Linked DNA regions of Lonchura striata. The protein of the gene in region 1 interacts with the protein of each later gene in a pairwise test. Links are inferred from orthologs where the notes say so. Each region holds a gene or a part of one and is shown on either strand. Other genes may lie near its edges. The genes, in order: UBA3 and IMPA2.

Region 1 (7,676 bases):
GCCTGGCTCGAAATCGGGATGTGTGAATGGTCCAGATCGCTCGAGGAACTTCTTTACATGGTTCCAGCGACCTTCCCAGTCTCCAGAGTCCCCACACCCACCATCAACAGCCATTCTGCACAGAACACAGTAAATTCAGCTGCAAAATCAGACAGGAAAAGCCACACCTCCAACTTTCTATGCAAAGAACACCTAAATTATTGATCATTTGTACAAATGCACCTGCATATTCTTTATGCCTCTTAAGTAATGCACATGAGCATTTGCATGAGTGGGTTTTATTTGTGAAACTAGAAAGCAATAATATAAATATGCACAGAGGGGAAAAAAAAACCCAGGCCTTTCAATAAACCCACTGCTTTAACAGTTACTAGTAAAAGTTGACCTGCAGTTTAAAAAGGGCCTATTCTTATTACTTTTATTTCCCTCAAATTTGAAGAGGACACTGAAAAAGAGCTTGTTCCTTTAGATTTTGAGGGTGATCATTTTTTCATCACTCAAGTCTTGTATCTTTTTTTGATAGACTTATCAGTCTGTAACTGCAATTGTGAGGCTCTGAATAAATTACAGTAACATGCCCCAATATCATCCTCTCAATCTTCAGGGTAGTTTATTTAAACAAATATTTTTAAAATACATGAATCAAGAATGTTCTTCACCCTCAAGTGGTACCAGGGAATTGGAACTGTCCCATTTTTCAGGCATGCTCAAGCCTGTCTGCAGTAACAGTCTCAATTGAAAAAAAAAGGAATGTTTGCAGCTATCTTCCTTTAAATTTTCAAGGCAGAATTTTACATTGAATACTCCACTACCCTTTTCTCATTTTGCAGGTCACTTTTAATAGTACATAAGTATAGACTTAAATTTTTCAGAGACTTACAGGAATAGTTCAAAATCAGCTCTCAAGTAATTTTCTACTGTAAGATTAACATCTACTTCCCTATTAAATAAACAGGAGTTCCACTCAATAAATATGATTATGTTCTACATTAATATAAAGGATTCAATCCTGAGTAGCAAAGGATGTGTCACCACTGATAAAGTGTTACCTGCTTTCTCCTATGAAGCACTATGAAAAGCACTTGTCTAATAATTCTTGGATAATGTTTAGAATTTATTATAACTTCCTTGTAACTCATCTCAAAATCAAAGGTAAATGTGGTGAAAACATCTGGAGTGAGTTCCTTTATCTTCACAGAATTCAGAACTTGGACAACACAGTGTGCCAATAGTAACTGAACTTACAGGCAACAGATTTTGGAAAAGATTTTCAGTAATAGGGAAAAACTTCCCTAAACTGCAGGAATAAATAAATCATAATTCACCTGTGATGTCTCTGCCTATGGCAGCGGGTTGGAATGAGATGATCTTTAAGGTCCCTTCCAACTCAAACCATTCTAGGATTCTATGATAATTTGATTGCAGACTGAACTCTCCTCATTAATAGCTGAGGGGAGTTATTCACTACATGAGCAGTTAAATAAGACATACAAAAATTACTTTAATTCATAAGGGTCTTTTGACCTCAGATGCACTTTCATATCTCCTCTAGTTTTCACAATAATATGAAAATACACATATTTCACATAATGGGAAATGGTGTAAATGAACACAGCACCCTCTGTGCAGAACCCCTCATCTGCTGTACACCAGATTTCAGGAGGTGCATTAAGCACTGACTTAAGCAAATAAAATGGATCAGCAGACATCACAAAAACTGCTTCTATGGATATTATAGTTTTTAGTGTTTCTGGAAATTAGTGTTGAAGCAATGTTTGGTGACATTAAGAACAAATTTTTTATTCTTTTATATAGCCCTTATGAACAGCTACTAAGCAGCAGCATTCCTTTTCTGTTTCAATGTGTATTTCTGTTTAGATATGTATTTTCCTTCCTAATTGATAAAAATGCTAAGATCTAATTTCACTTTTGCAATTAGACTACAGTTCGATTTTTAGATGGTTGGACATTGTGGAGATCTGAAAAACATCCATAACTCAACCTGAGATTTCATGTTTTATTTCACAGGCAGTTTTCTCCAGTGTTTATTTTTTGTGCTGTTACAGCATGACCAGGTATAAGAGTTCAACAATATTCTTATGTATTTCATTTAGTTATTTTCGTTTTAAATTTTGCTTGAAATATCAGAGCACCACAGTCCTTATATTGCTTTAAGCTCAGACTTTTCCCTGCCATCTTCACTTTTTGTGCTGTTACAGCACGACCAGGTATAAGAGTTCAAGAGCATTTTTTTGTATTTCATTGAGTTATTTTCATTTTAAATTTTGTTTGAAATATCAGAGCACCACAGTCCTTATATTGCTTTAAGCTCAGACTTTTCCCTGCCACCTTCACATCTGCAAAGCTCCATGCTTTTGGGGGACTTGGCATGCACCCCCTCCCATCCCACATGCCCAGGGAATGCTGTGGCCCCATCCCCACACACATGCACTGCCTGCTGACCCTGGGGTAGAGGGACACAAGCACATGGAATGGAATAATTCAGGAATGAAGCAGATGTCGTTAAGGATTTCTCAACATTCATTTTCACGGCCTTTAAGGCTAGATTTTAACGCGTTTTAATGTGCAGAGACAACCGTTCTGCAGTCTGAATTTTTAAATTTCCAGCCAAAAGCTTAAGTCACCTGCTTCTAGCCTAGAGGCCCTCCCAGGTCCCTGACGGCAAGGCAGCTTTCCCCCCTCTGGTCACCAAGCTCTTCAGCACACCATGCCAAGCTGCGAGCCCGCATCTCCCACGCCGCTCCGGGCCAGCCCCTCGCTCCTCTGCCTCCCCGGGAGCTTCCTCTCCTCTCCTGTCCCCCAGGCCTCGCTGCTCAAGGGCCCTGCCCCAGCTACGCCAGCTCTCCTGGGGCTCCCTCCTCCCTGCCCGCGCTCAGCTCCTGCGGGGCTGCGGCTGCCCTCACCTCACCCCGCCCCAGCAAGCGCTGCCCCTGCCCCGCTGGCCCGCAGCCCCGCACTAACCCATCCGCCAGCAGCTCCTCTAGCCTCCTTCTTTTCTTCTCCCTAAAAGAGAGAGAATAAAAGAAGGGTCAGTATCGCGCTACAGAGACCGGGGAGGAGGGAGAGGGGACCGCGGGCGCGGGGCAGGGCCGGCCGAGCACACACATACAGGGCACTTACGGTTCCTCACCATCCGCCATAGTTCCCTCTGCTTCCCACAGTGCCCCGCGAGGGGCGGCGCCGGGCGCGGCGCGGGCAGCGCCGCCTGAGGCGGCTGAGGCGATAGTGGCGATAGTGGCGACAGTGGCGACAGTGGGGACAGTGGGGACAACAAGCACGGACACTCGGCAGGGACACCCCCGTTCCCTCACACAGAGGCTCCCTCCCGTCCCGCCTGCCCGCACCCGAGGGATCTCCCTGCGCCCGCCTCTCTGATGGCCACAGAGTGCGATGGTTTCGCTTCAAAGGGACCTCAAAGCCCATCCACTTTCACCCCTTCCACTGCCCCAGGTTGCTCCAAGCCCCGTCCAACCTGGCCTTGAACACTTCCAGGGATGGGAAAAGCATCTGAGCAGTTTCTCTGGACAATCTGTGCCTCACCACCCTCACAGGGAAGCATTTCTTCCTAGTATTTAATCTAAACCTACTGTCCATCAGTTTGAAGCCCTTCCCCTTTATCCTATCACTCCAGGCCCTTGTAAATAGTCTCTCTCCATCTTTGTTGCAGCCTTCCTTCAGGTACTGGGAGGCCACAATTAGGTCACCGCAGAGCCTCCTCTTCCCCAGGCTGAGCCATCCCAATTCCCTCAGCCTTTCCTCGTAGCAGAGCTGCTCCAGCCTCCTCCGGGCTCAGAACTCCCTGGGAGCCATGGAGGGCATCCTCAGGGAAAAAGGGCAGACACCATGGTGCTTTAAAGCCTTCAGGACAGCTGGAACCCAAATGTGATCAGGCTCAGGCTGGTCGCTGCCTGCCACAATGGCTTTTTGTCTTACTAACACTCCCTGGGCAGGGCCTGGACATAAACCAGAACCACATAAACCAAGGACCACACATAAACCAGAACAGTGCAGGCCAGGAAGATGATGAGGACTAACTTGGCCTGTGTTCAAGTCTTGGACTTCCAAACTTCAGGGATGTAAATCCTTCAAGGATTCCTTCAAGTGCCAGCCTGCTTACATTTGGAGAAGGATTTTGATGCTCGGCACGGTATCAGCAAACCCTGGGTGCTGTGTGATGCACAAACAGCCCGTGCTCGAGCCATGGTGGCTGAAGTGTGAAAGCCTGAAAACACAAATGTTCCAACACAGACTGCTGGGGTCAAAACACCACAGCTGCAGGCACCAACCTTTCCATCCAAAGGCACAGTCACCCTGTTGCCTATTTTAGGAGCTCTCTAAACACAGAGTCTGGTTTAGAAAGGAGACATGGTTTAATCTGCCAGGCGGAAGTTTCCAAAATCAAGTACCCCAAGGGGTAAGAAGTTTTATCTATTATATAGTAACATTTACATGAACACGCCTACTTACTACATATTCTCCGCCCTCCTAATGCATATTTATTTAGGTGATGTAATCTAACGCAATGCCTGAAATCCAAAGTTCTTTTTTTCATTAGGCAAATTATATCGTAGAAATTATCAGACGGCATCAGTTACTTTGCAAAAGGTGAGAAAATTCAGCGTGAAGACAGCAAATTCAGCCTGAAGACATCCTAAACCCCACTAGCAGAGCCCCCCTGCCATGGGACACCCCGCAGTGGTGAGGCTGACACTCCTCGCGGTGCCCGCCCCACTCATCCCTGCTTTCACAGATGATGCCGAGTGGCTTCGCCCACGTGAATGCTCAACGTGCATCACCACTCGCTGAAGGAACAATGAACGCACAGCGATTATTGACAGCAGCCCCTGCCAGCTGCCAGCCCTGGGCGGTGACACACGCCTGTCGCTTGTGCTGCTGCCCGTTCGCTCGCGGGCTCGGCAGCGCGGAGCGGCGGGGCCGCACCGGCGCGGGGCCGCTGTCGGTGCCGGTGCCGCCCCGGTACCGCTGTCGCTGTCGGTGCCGCCCCGGTACCGCTGTCGCTGTCGGTGCCGGTGCCGCCCCGGTACCGCTGTCGCTGTCGGTGCCGGAGCCGCCCCGGTACCGCTGTCGCTGTCGGTGCCGGTGCCGCCCCGGTACCGCTGTCGCTGTCGGTGTCGGTGCCGCCCCGGGGCGGTGCCCGGCGCTCCCGAGCCTGCGCGGCGGCGGCGGCGGCCATGGAGGTGCAGGTGGCCCCGCTGCGGGCTTGGGACGATTTCTTCCCCGGCTCGGATCGCTTCGCGCTGCCCGACCTCAAGGACATCTCGAAATGGAACAACCGCGTGGTCAGCAACCTGCTCTACTACCAGACCAACTACCTGATGGTGGCCGCCGCGCTCGTCTCCATCGTGGGGTCAGTGCGCGGCCTCGCGGTGCGGCCGGCAGGGCCGGGCTGCGGCTGGGGTGGCCCCGCTCCCCGGGCGGGTGCCACGGGAAAGAACCCGATGTGAGAGTACAGGGGCGGGGGAGCTGCCTTTTCCCTTCCTCCTTTTCCCCTCTTTTCCCCTTACCCTCCTCCACTCCCCTTTCCCCATCCCGCCCCTCCTTAAACCTCTGGTGTCGTTTAAAAAATGTAGAGGCCTGGTTTACAGCCGCGGTAGCAGCCGGGTTTGTGATGTGTTGGTGGGGTGTGACCGGCCTGAGGACTCCGTGTGTGTTGTCTCCCTTTCCCACGGGCTGCTCCTCCAGCCCTGTGCCCGAGGCGGAGGCTGCGGAAGGCAGCGATGCTTGGGGTGCGGGATGTTGCTGCTCGCGGAAATCGGAGCCGCATCCTGCGCAGCGATCTGTGCTTCCTCCTGAACCTGCCCAGCGGGGCTGCTCAGGCTGAGGCACGCTCAGCTTTGAATTTAAAAAAAAATGCATAGATAAATTCTGCTCTCTGTAACTGTCCTAAAGTAATGTTCAGGGCAAGCCGTTCTTATTTCTGAACTAGCTCATACCAAAAAAAATCGCTATAAAATAAATAAGGTACCCCATCATTTCGTTCTGGTGGGCAGGATTCACACCTTCGAGGCAGGACCATCTGCTGGTACAATGTTGTTTCACACCCAGCATTCCTGAAGGGAATGAGGAAATAACCTTATAATCACCTTCTGAATTAAAGGCTATGTGACTCTATTTCAGGTACTGCTCTAGGATCTTTGGTCAGAAAGCTCTTAAGCAAGACATGCAGCAGAAACGATGATTAAGCTTTTAATATGGAAACTGAAATACTCCACTCTTCTCAACAAGCAACGCACAAATGCTTAAATTGGAGAACTGCCCAGCTACCAGGCCAGAGTGGCTTTGGCTGAAGTACATCTTATCTCTTATGTTGCAGAGGCTTAAAGTGATTCCCCTAAATATTTTTTTTTTTTTTTTTTTTTGTGAGGGGTACGCATTCTGCATCCTGTTAGGGCTTCTGAAGCTGTTGACCCAGCATCTAAGTTGATAAAGATTCTCTGGCTCACAGCAGACTTTGACCTGTACTCTGTGGAAGGATAGGCTCAATCCTGCATTTTCTTCTTAATGCATATGATGGTTTTAGGTTCAGTAGAGTGGCATAGGCATTTTTATTTTGTATTTTGGTGGCAATATGTTGCAGTGATATTTACAGACTACTAGGCTGGCAAAATGAGACTTCTATGGTCTTGCTGTTCTTCTACCACTTTGTTCTATATTTGTGTGTTCATTACCCTCATTAGCAGCACCATGTTGTAGCTGGCTCTCAATGAACAAGTAAATCACAGGGTCCCTGGAAAGCAGGCGGACAGCTCTTCTGCCCAAGAAGGTGGGAAAAGAATGAAAATAATTTAGGTATCTCCAAACAGGGTATCTCCCTGTAAAACAGGGATGGCAGCAGCTTTTACTCACCTTCCTAAATTCCTGCTTTGGAACTCTTGATTGCTTTTCTTCAGATCAAGGGAGATTTGTCTCCCACTTATTTCCTACTAATGTGCTGAGGTGGGAGGTGGAGGAGGAAGAGAGCCACAGAAGATGGAAACTAATATCAGAGCTGAAATTATAATATCTTAATATTGAGTGATAACCCTCTGAGTTGAAAACTTATGGATGAACAAGACCTGAAGTGGGATCTTTATCTCACATATTTTTTTATTGCATGTCTTAGTCTTTGGTATATGATGAACCTGATTCTTCTGACATGGAAGTAAAATTAGATGGGAGAATAATTCTAAAGGAAATGGGATAATACCTCAATAGAGAAAAAGTATCCATTTCTTTTAATAAAAATACTTTTCAATTGGCCAGACTGTGGCTTTGGAAGAAAGGTAAAGAAAGTTCTCCTGATAAATTTAAATTGATGACTAAGTTGTCTTTCACTTCATCCTGTAATGGTCGGGAACCCCTGATAAATGATGAATCATGGCTTTTTAGGAACTCCAGGGCTGTGTCCAGGCCTAAGGGCAGGATTGTTGGAACCACTAATAAAGTGGTCTTAATCTGTGACCAACTTTACCTGCCCATAAGCCATCTAATTATACAGACAGACTTGAAATGCAAAGATAATATTTTCAGCTGTTGCAGTTCTGTGGTTGAGCTGGGTTGACACAGAAATTGTAGTCCAGAGCTTTCTTGATACTGGAAATACTTTGTGCTTTGTGCCACAGCTTTAGTTTGCTGCCCCTCCTATAACAAAGCTG
Region 2 (7,457 bases), on another chromosome or scaffold:
ATACTGCTTGCACCCACCATACACTTCTGGGAGATCCAAGATGGATTATGGATGCTTGCAATGCTGTCCTGAAATATTTACTGACTAATAAAATCAAACATCTAGATAAAAAGCGTGAGTATCTGCAAATAATTCAGGAAATTCCAATCTGGTTTGCTAAAACATCTGTCCACGTTACATCAAAAATAGCCTAAAATTTTCCCCTGGGAGCAAACATCATGGAAAAATATATTGGCTTTTTAGAATACCAGAAAAATTTTGTCTTTTTTTTTCTTTTAGTGGTATTCTGCTAGATCTTTTATGCCTCATAAAACTATTTTCCAGACAAAAAAGAAAAAAATACTAGAGAGAAAAAAAAAATCAAACTTCAGCATACTATGTCCTAGTATCAGTTTCTTACTCTTATTTTTACCTGGATGTTTGTTTACTCATTTTGGTTAAGCTTTTCCAATTCTGCAATTGGAGAGAACAGTGAAGATATTAGTCAGTGCGCTTAACAGCATCAAAGATGCACAGATTGGTCAGGCCTGCTTTTCTTGAGCAAAAAGTAATATCAAACCTATGGCTATACTTTCATGAACAGAGCAAGCAGGTTACTTACAGAAAAAAACAGAAGGGAAATTTGAAAAAGTGAAGTTATTTGTGGCCTTATAGAATGAATTTAAAAGCAGGTCAATTACAGACATTACAAAACCATGACCATTCTTGTTATGAAACAGCCATATATATTAAATGAGAGCCTGTGTTATTTCATAAAAGTAATAAGAACTTGCCACAGGGCAAGAGAATCAGTGATTTTAACCTAGTAATAGAGGTTACTCCAGCAACAATACTTTAGACACATAATCAAGCATCACTTCTTTATTGGCCTTTTAAGTTTAGAAGAAACTATTCTATAGTGTAGACTCCTCTCTGTTGGGAAGAAGACACATTTTACCTACAGTCATGAAACATAATGCAATACAAATCAATTGGTTGTATAAGCCAAAAGGGAGACTGGAAAACTGTGTTACTGGCTGACTTTTCCTAGAAATCCAAAATCTGGAGGTGCACATTTTTCTTCAGGCCAAGACTCTTGTAGACATTTTCTAATGATTCCAACCCTTCCTAACCTGCCACACTCCTGAGAAATGGAGCACCTTAAAGAAAAGGCTGAAGTGGCAAAGTCTCATCCAGAGATGGAGATTAAATTTAGATGTGGGGAGACACAGAGTGCAAGCAGATTTCTAGGGATGGAGGTGAAGGTGGAAAGGTCTGAGGGATGGGAAGAGAAGCAGAAGAAAAAAATGAACTTGGCTAGTGGAATTGACCGCTTTTGGTGATCAAGATAACCCCCATTTTTATCATTCAGTCTTCAACAAACTGCCAGTCCTACGAAACACATTTTGCACTGCACTAGGTGTCCTTAGCTATAGTTTATTTTGGTAATAGCTGGAAGCAGATTGACACTTAAATAAAATAATAGAGCCATACCTGCACCTTTTCTTCCAGAAGGATCTCCAGTGCCTTTTGTAACAAAAAAGATTCCTTAACATGACAAAATAATTGGAAAAAAAAATACCCAGTTTCCAAAGTCCTACTTAAACAACATCCTTGGCTGGCTTAAATTTGGCCTGCCAATGAATCAGGTATTTCATGCCATTTACAAGGTAGCAATGGCAAATTGTGATTTCAGATTCAAGGATTAGTCTTATGGAATGTTTACTTCTTCCAGGAAAAGGTGCTCAGCTGTGATTTTCTGAGCAAGTAAAATGATTGGGGAAGCTTAAAGCTGGCTTCACAAATTGGTGTTTTGAGAAATAAGGTGTGGAGGCTTGAGCAAGTCATGAGTCTCTTCTTGTGAAACGGCTGGCAGAATGACTGCTGGAGAAACTCCTGTTTTGAGAGTCTGTGAGAGCATGACCTGTCATCCTGATTTGGATTATCCATTTAGTCCCTGTATTATTAAAACAAGTCTCCTCTGGCATTCTGTTCACTTGTAGTTGTTTTTGACTAAGGAGAAAATGTATTTAATATTACATTTTATTTATTAATACTTTTATTTATAAAAGTTATGGATCTTGGACTCAAGATTAAAAAGGGGGCTTCTTAAATCACAGTGTATATGTACAAAGCGTGTTTCAAAATAGAGCAGAATGGAAGCGAGAGAGAAATATACATTGCTGAATAAATTTGTGTTTCACCCAGTTTCTCAATCAATCAATCTGCTGATCCCACTTCTTGGCTCTGTTAGACCTGGTGGAAGTTTTGCTGCTGCAGAGTGGGGTCAGGCTGCCTCCTGAGATGACTAACCTGCTGTGTCAAAACACGGATCTGAAATAAGCTACTACAGACCTTCCTCACACAGCTATTTGTCCCTAGCAAGTTAATTTCGGCCACTCTAACAAGAGAAAACCTCCTTGACACGGTTGTTTTTCTCTGCACAAGCTGCTGGAAAACAAATGCTGGCCCCGAAGGATGCAACCCCCAAGGGATGCACCCGAGGGATGGGGCCTCGCAGGGAAGGGGCCCTTTGGGGGCATGCAGCCCCCGAGGGAAGTACCCCCAAGGGCTGGGCCTCCCTACCCCGGGCTGGGGCCTCGAGGGAAGTGTCCCCGCGGCATGAGGCTCCCGGGGGATGTGGCCTCTGAGGGTTGGCCCCCAGGTTCTGGGGTCCCTCGGGATGGGGCCCCGCTGCCGCCATCCCTCCCGCGGCCGAAGGCTCCGCCGGCGGCCCGGGCGAGCGGGTGCCGAGCCCCGCCGCCCTCCTCCCGCGCCCCGGCTCCGCACCAGCCGAGCGCCCGCACGGGAGAAGGCTCCTCCGGCCGCGGGGCAGCCCGGCCCGGCTCTCACCTGCCCGGCGCGGCGCGCCAGCTGCACCGCCACCTCCGCGCACTCCTTCCAGGGGTCCCCGCCGCCGCCCGCCGCCCGCCCTTCCTCCTCCTCCTCCTCGCACGGCTTCATCGCGGCGGCCGCGCTGCCCGGAGCGGGGCCGGGGGGCGCGGGGGGCCCGGCTCCCCGCCCAGGAGCGCCCGCCGAGGAGGATGCCCTGGGCGCACACACCGCCCGGCGCTGTCACTGCGCGCCCCGGCCGCGCCCCGCCCAGCGCGGCGGGGCGGAGAGAGGCGGCAGCCGCGGTCAATGGGGAAGGCGGGCTGGCTGCTGAGAGCTGGCTTTAGGTGAGCCCCGGGGGCGGAGGAGGGCCGGCAGAGGCGGGGGTACCGCGGAGAGCAGCGCCGGGGCCGCGCCGAGAGGGCGGGATGCGGCGGGCAGGGTGCGCAGGGGGTTGCGGAGCGCAGGATGCGGGATGCGGAGCGCAGGATGCGGAGGGCAAGATGCGCCGCCATCGCCATGGCCGTGCTCCTGCCGCCCCTCCTGACATGGCGCCGGGACCGCCAGGCTGGGGCTGGGGCGCTCCTGTTTCCCCCGGGAGAAGGAGGAGCGGCCGCGCTCCCGGGCCGAGCGGCCCCTCGGGGCTCCGCTGTCCCCGTGTGCCGCAGCCACCTCGCCCGGCTCTCGGCGTTACCGGGACTTTGGGGGAAAAGCTGGCGGCTGGCATTGGCTATCTCCGGAATGAAAGGGGAAAAGTGTGGGAAAAGCGGCCTCGGGAGTTCAGCTTGTTAGTGATTGGGAGTTCAAGTGTGTGGTAAGAAATACATGGCCCTTTCTATTTTTCCCTTGTCTTCGTGTGTCATTTTGGATTTGTCAAGGATGAAAAGAAGAGAATTGAGAACTCGCTGTTCCAGAATCCGTATAAGCCAAATTGCCATGCCGGCAGAGCAGGGAACAGAGCTGAGCGATTCTGGATCCGCCTCTCCGAAGGAGGGCAGCCCAGGATGAATGCGTGCTTATGCAATAGAGCAGCCAGACTGTTGTGCTTAAAACACCGAGTGAGTGTTGGGAACACACACTTTATCTGTCAGAGTGAGGCTTTTCCAAATGACTTGTTCCGATGCACACTTGGCATTGAATTGGAAAAAAGAGAGCCCAGGGACTGAATCCATCAGCGTAGCTTTTTGAAAGAGGCATTAGGTATACAGAGTGCATGAAATTTGTTATTGTCTTTCAGCACCTGCTTTGTGGTTGAGAGTTTCATTCCCAGGGCTAGAATAGAGATGCTTTAGTAACGAATTTGCATGAAGAAAATTGGCTAACACCACCATTTCCTATCTCTGAGCACAAAATTAATTAATTTCCTAGAGAATAGGCTAAATTAAATTGATGTGGGTATTCTACTTAATGTAACAGACCCTAAATCTAGACCTATTTTCTTTTGTTTTTTATCTTGTAGGACAAAGATGACTTTGGGATGAGAGGGATATGCTTGCCTAGGCAGTTCACAAAAATAATAGACACTTTCTAAAATTAAACACTTGGATCTTTTCCCCCTAAAGCAAGGGAGTGAACTTTGTGGCTTGTACCACAAGAATTCAACTTAATTCTTTAAATTTCTAAGCTGCACCCTGGCAGTGGATGTCAGTCTACTTAATGAAATATTTTGTAGTCCCCATTTTGAATCAGGAAAAAATGGTAACAAACTATGAAAAGGTGAATTAACTACTACACAAAGTGTGTATGTTTGGTTGAAGCATGAAATTATGAAATTTTGTTGAATAAATCTTCACCAAATATTTGTCAATCTTTCTGCTGACTGATTTGTTTCCTCCAAATGCATATTTGCGTCATTCCTATGTTAGATTAGTTAAATGCAAAAAACCCTACAAACATGCAGTATAATTTGGACTAGTATAGAATAGAATTGGTCTGGATTCTTCTTTAGTCTGAATTTCCTCTAGGTTTTGGAAATTTGTGTTTTTTATTGCTGCCATAGCATGAGGCATCTTCAGGACCTTCCCTAGAGAGTTTCTGTGCAGGGCTAGATGGGTAAATGTATTTCCTTGTGAAATTTGTGGACTGCTGAGATGTAGTATAGACAGCTTTAACTTTGGTGAAAAAGATGTAGAGTTAATAATGGTTTTGCATTCCAGGAAGCATCTCAGACCATGATAGAAGTGCTTTCTGTGTTTTTTCTTGAACTACAAAGTTTTAGTTACTGAATTTGCCAACAATAAACGCCTATACCTATTGCTGAAACAGGCTAGATCCTAATCTGATGTAGTGCAAGTGGTTTCTTCCTGTATGCCTGGGGTCTGCCTAAATGCCTGGAGATTTGTTGTTATTAGGCTGCCACAGGGGCGTTTGGAAGACTATTTAAGGCATGTTTTAAAAGCAGTTAGTGTGAATTACAATGCAGTAGCAGGATACACTGTATACAAGTATCCCCACTGAAGGTATCTACAGAAAGTTACACACAACTTCACAGAGAAGTACTGTTGCAAAGAGGGGGAAGTGCTCCCCTCAATATTTTTTCTTCACAGGAGTGCGTCCTCTTTCTAAGTAACGTCTGGAAAAATAAGCATTTCAACAGTAGAATTTTTCCAGCCTTCTTTTCATTCTGGTGGTAGAATAGTGATAATAGGATCACTGGAGGCTGAACTTGAGAGGCTGAAATATCTGAATGAGTCCTCATTTTTTACAGATTTACTGCAGCTATGTGGCTCGTGCAGGGAGATTTAAAACAGGACTAGAAGGTCAGTAAAGAATACTTAGAAAATCAGTAGCTACAGCTAGTATTTCAAGACTTTCCAAAATACTTTGCAAGAAAATACAGCTGCCTGTAAGGCCTTTAAATGGTAATATTTCTCTTTATCATTCTCCTAGTCCATGATTTTTTCAAACCTTCCTTAGCCTAGACCTGCCCAGGCAGTGTGAGCTTCCCCATGTGAGCTGCTGGCTGACATTGACTGTCCATTCACCTGCGAGCTGGTTGAGGCTGCTCTCTGCCTTGCTGGATCAGACTCTTGGCTCATCTTTCACAACTGCCAAGGTCTTTCATAACCTCTGATCTTTCATAACCCCAAACTCTAGCCAGTTCCTCTCACATGCCTTTCGTAACCTACACACACACCGCGTGTTTAATCCACTTGGAATAGGCCCATCCTGATGAACCTGAAATACAAGTGTTTCTTGGGTGCTTTGTCTGCCTCAATCCTCCTGAGCCCCAGGCAGACTTGTGTGGATGTCAGACTTCCTTCCCCGAGACAATGGATGCTCAGTGGAGGGGAAAACCTCCTCTTTGACCTCAGAGGAGAAAAGGGAGACTAGTCACGGATTTCCTTCTCTCCCGGGGTGTGAAGCCCTAATTGACTTAGGTGTGGCTCAGCTGGGGGTGGCGGTCTCCTTCCCTTCCTGTCCCAAGGCGCTGCGCAAAATACGCGGTGCGGCCGCTCCGTGCGCCGCGCAGGGGTCCCCAGCGCGGTCTGCTCGGAGCAAAACCCAGGGTCACTCGGTGGGGCAGCTGCCGCAGCTGGAACTGGTTTAATTCTGCCTCAGCAGACAGCTTGCCATTCTCTACGCCGATAGTAATTGCAGGCTGCAGTGATGTAATAAGGTTGTAGTTTTGCAGAGTGAAGGTGACCTCGCTGTAGCCGTCGGCATGGGATCCTCAGATGCTCTCCAGTGCGGATCTTTGGCACTTCACGGACTTGATGGATCTTTGTCATTTCTTTGGTTTGATAGACGATCTCCTAACAGGGGATAAAATGGGAGGACAAGTGTATAACAGCTTTAATAAAAACAGAGGGGTGAAGAAAAAAAGAAAAAGGAAGAAATCTTTTGCAATTATTATCCTGAGTGCGAAAGAGCATTTCCTCAGTGTGACAGCCAGAGGCTTGCTGCACTGTTATTAAAGTGCACTTCAGTGGGAATCCATGCAGATGGCTTTTTTACCCAGCATAGGATTATATTGGATTAGTCATATAAAATTGTTGTTTACCATCTCTAGTCCTTTTCCCCAGAGCTTTTAGCAGGAATCTCACAAAGCATGTAGTTTCAGTCTGCCTTTACGCGGTAACCCAGCTTTTTGTTTGTGCAAACTGCTACAATGTTGTAGTTTAATGTAATCCTAATGTTGCAATGGGAGATTTTATACCTGATAAAGGAGGCTGTTTGGCCCAGATTTTCCTTTTGGCTATAAGAAATGAAGTTAGATCTTAAGGAGATGCTCTTTCTTATTGCTGGACTCTACAGAAGAGCTGTGCTGATCCCACTTCTGCTCCATCCGAGACAATCAGAGATTCCTAACACTGGCACTGTTTTTCATAATGCTCACTAATGAGTTAATGCTTAATTAATGCACTGTTCTGAGTGATGTATGAGATATTTCTTGTGTTCCCTTTCTATCATGCAGAGCCGTACTCTGACCATCTTTCTTCTCTATGTCTAGAAGTCTCAGGGATCACTGTGTGAAAAACATCAATCGGTTTTTTTTTTTTTTTAATCTTAAAAGTTTATTAATAATAAAATAGTTATAAAAAGTGGCAGTAAAATTAGAGTAATAAAATTTTTGACAATGAGGATTAGGACACTATGAGACAATAAAAAGCAAAGAATTATTGATGTTTTTGGGCACTAAGCTG

What was found.
Region 2: the proteins of UBA3 (region 1) and IMPA2 interact in binary tests that used the Homo sapiens proteins (3 or more experiments, as listed by UniProt). The two-hybrid records come from large-scale screens. The link is inferred for Lonchura striata from reciprocal best matches to the Homo sapiens genes UBA3 and IMPA2.

The regions. Positions count from the first base shown.
Region 1 is NC_134614.1:19,697,726-19,705,401, forward strand, and holds the start of UBA3 (NEDD8-activating enzyme E1 catalytic subunit), read right to left. Parts: upstream 3,188-7,676; 5' UTR 3,162-3,187; coding exon 3,142-3,161; exon of another isoform or gene 3,131-3,141; intron 3,025-3,130; coding exon 2,983-3,024; intron 116-2,982; coding exon 1-115. Other genes in the region: ARL6IP5 (PRA1 family protein 3), read left to right, coding at 5,214-5,389. UniProt on the Homo sapiens protein: Catalytic subunit of the dimeric UBA3-NAE1 E1 enzyme. E1 activates NEDD8 by first adenylating its C-terminal glycine residue with ATP, thereafter linking this residue to the side chain of the catalytic cysteine, yielding a NEDD8-UBA3 thioester and free AMP.
Region 2 is NC_134603.1:52,902,811-52,910,267, reverse strand, and holds the start of IMPA2 (inositol monophosphatase 2), read right to left. Parts: upstream 3,093-7,457; 5' UTR 2,944-3,092; coding exon 2,833-2,943; intron 1-2,832. UniProt on the Homo sapiens protein: Phosphatase that can use myo-inositol monophosphates, myo-inositol 1,4-diphosphate, scyllo-inositol-1,4-diphosphate, glucose-1-phosphate, beta-glycerophosphate and 2'-AMP as substrates in vitro.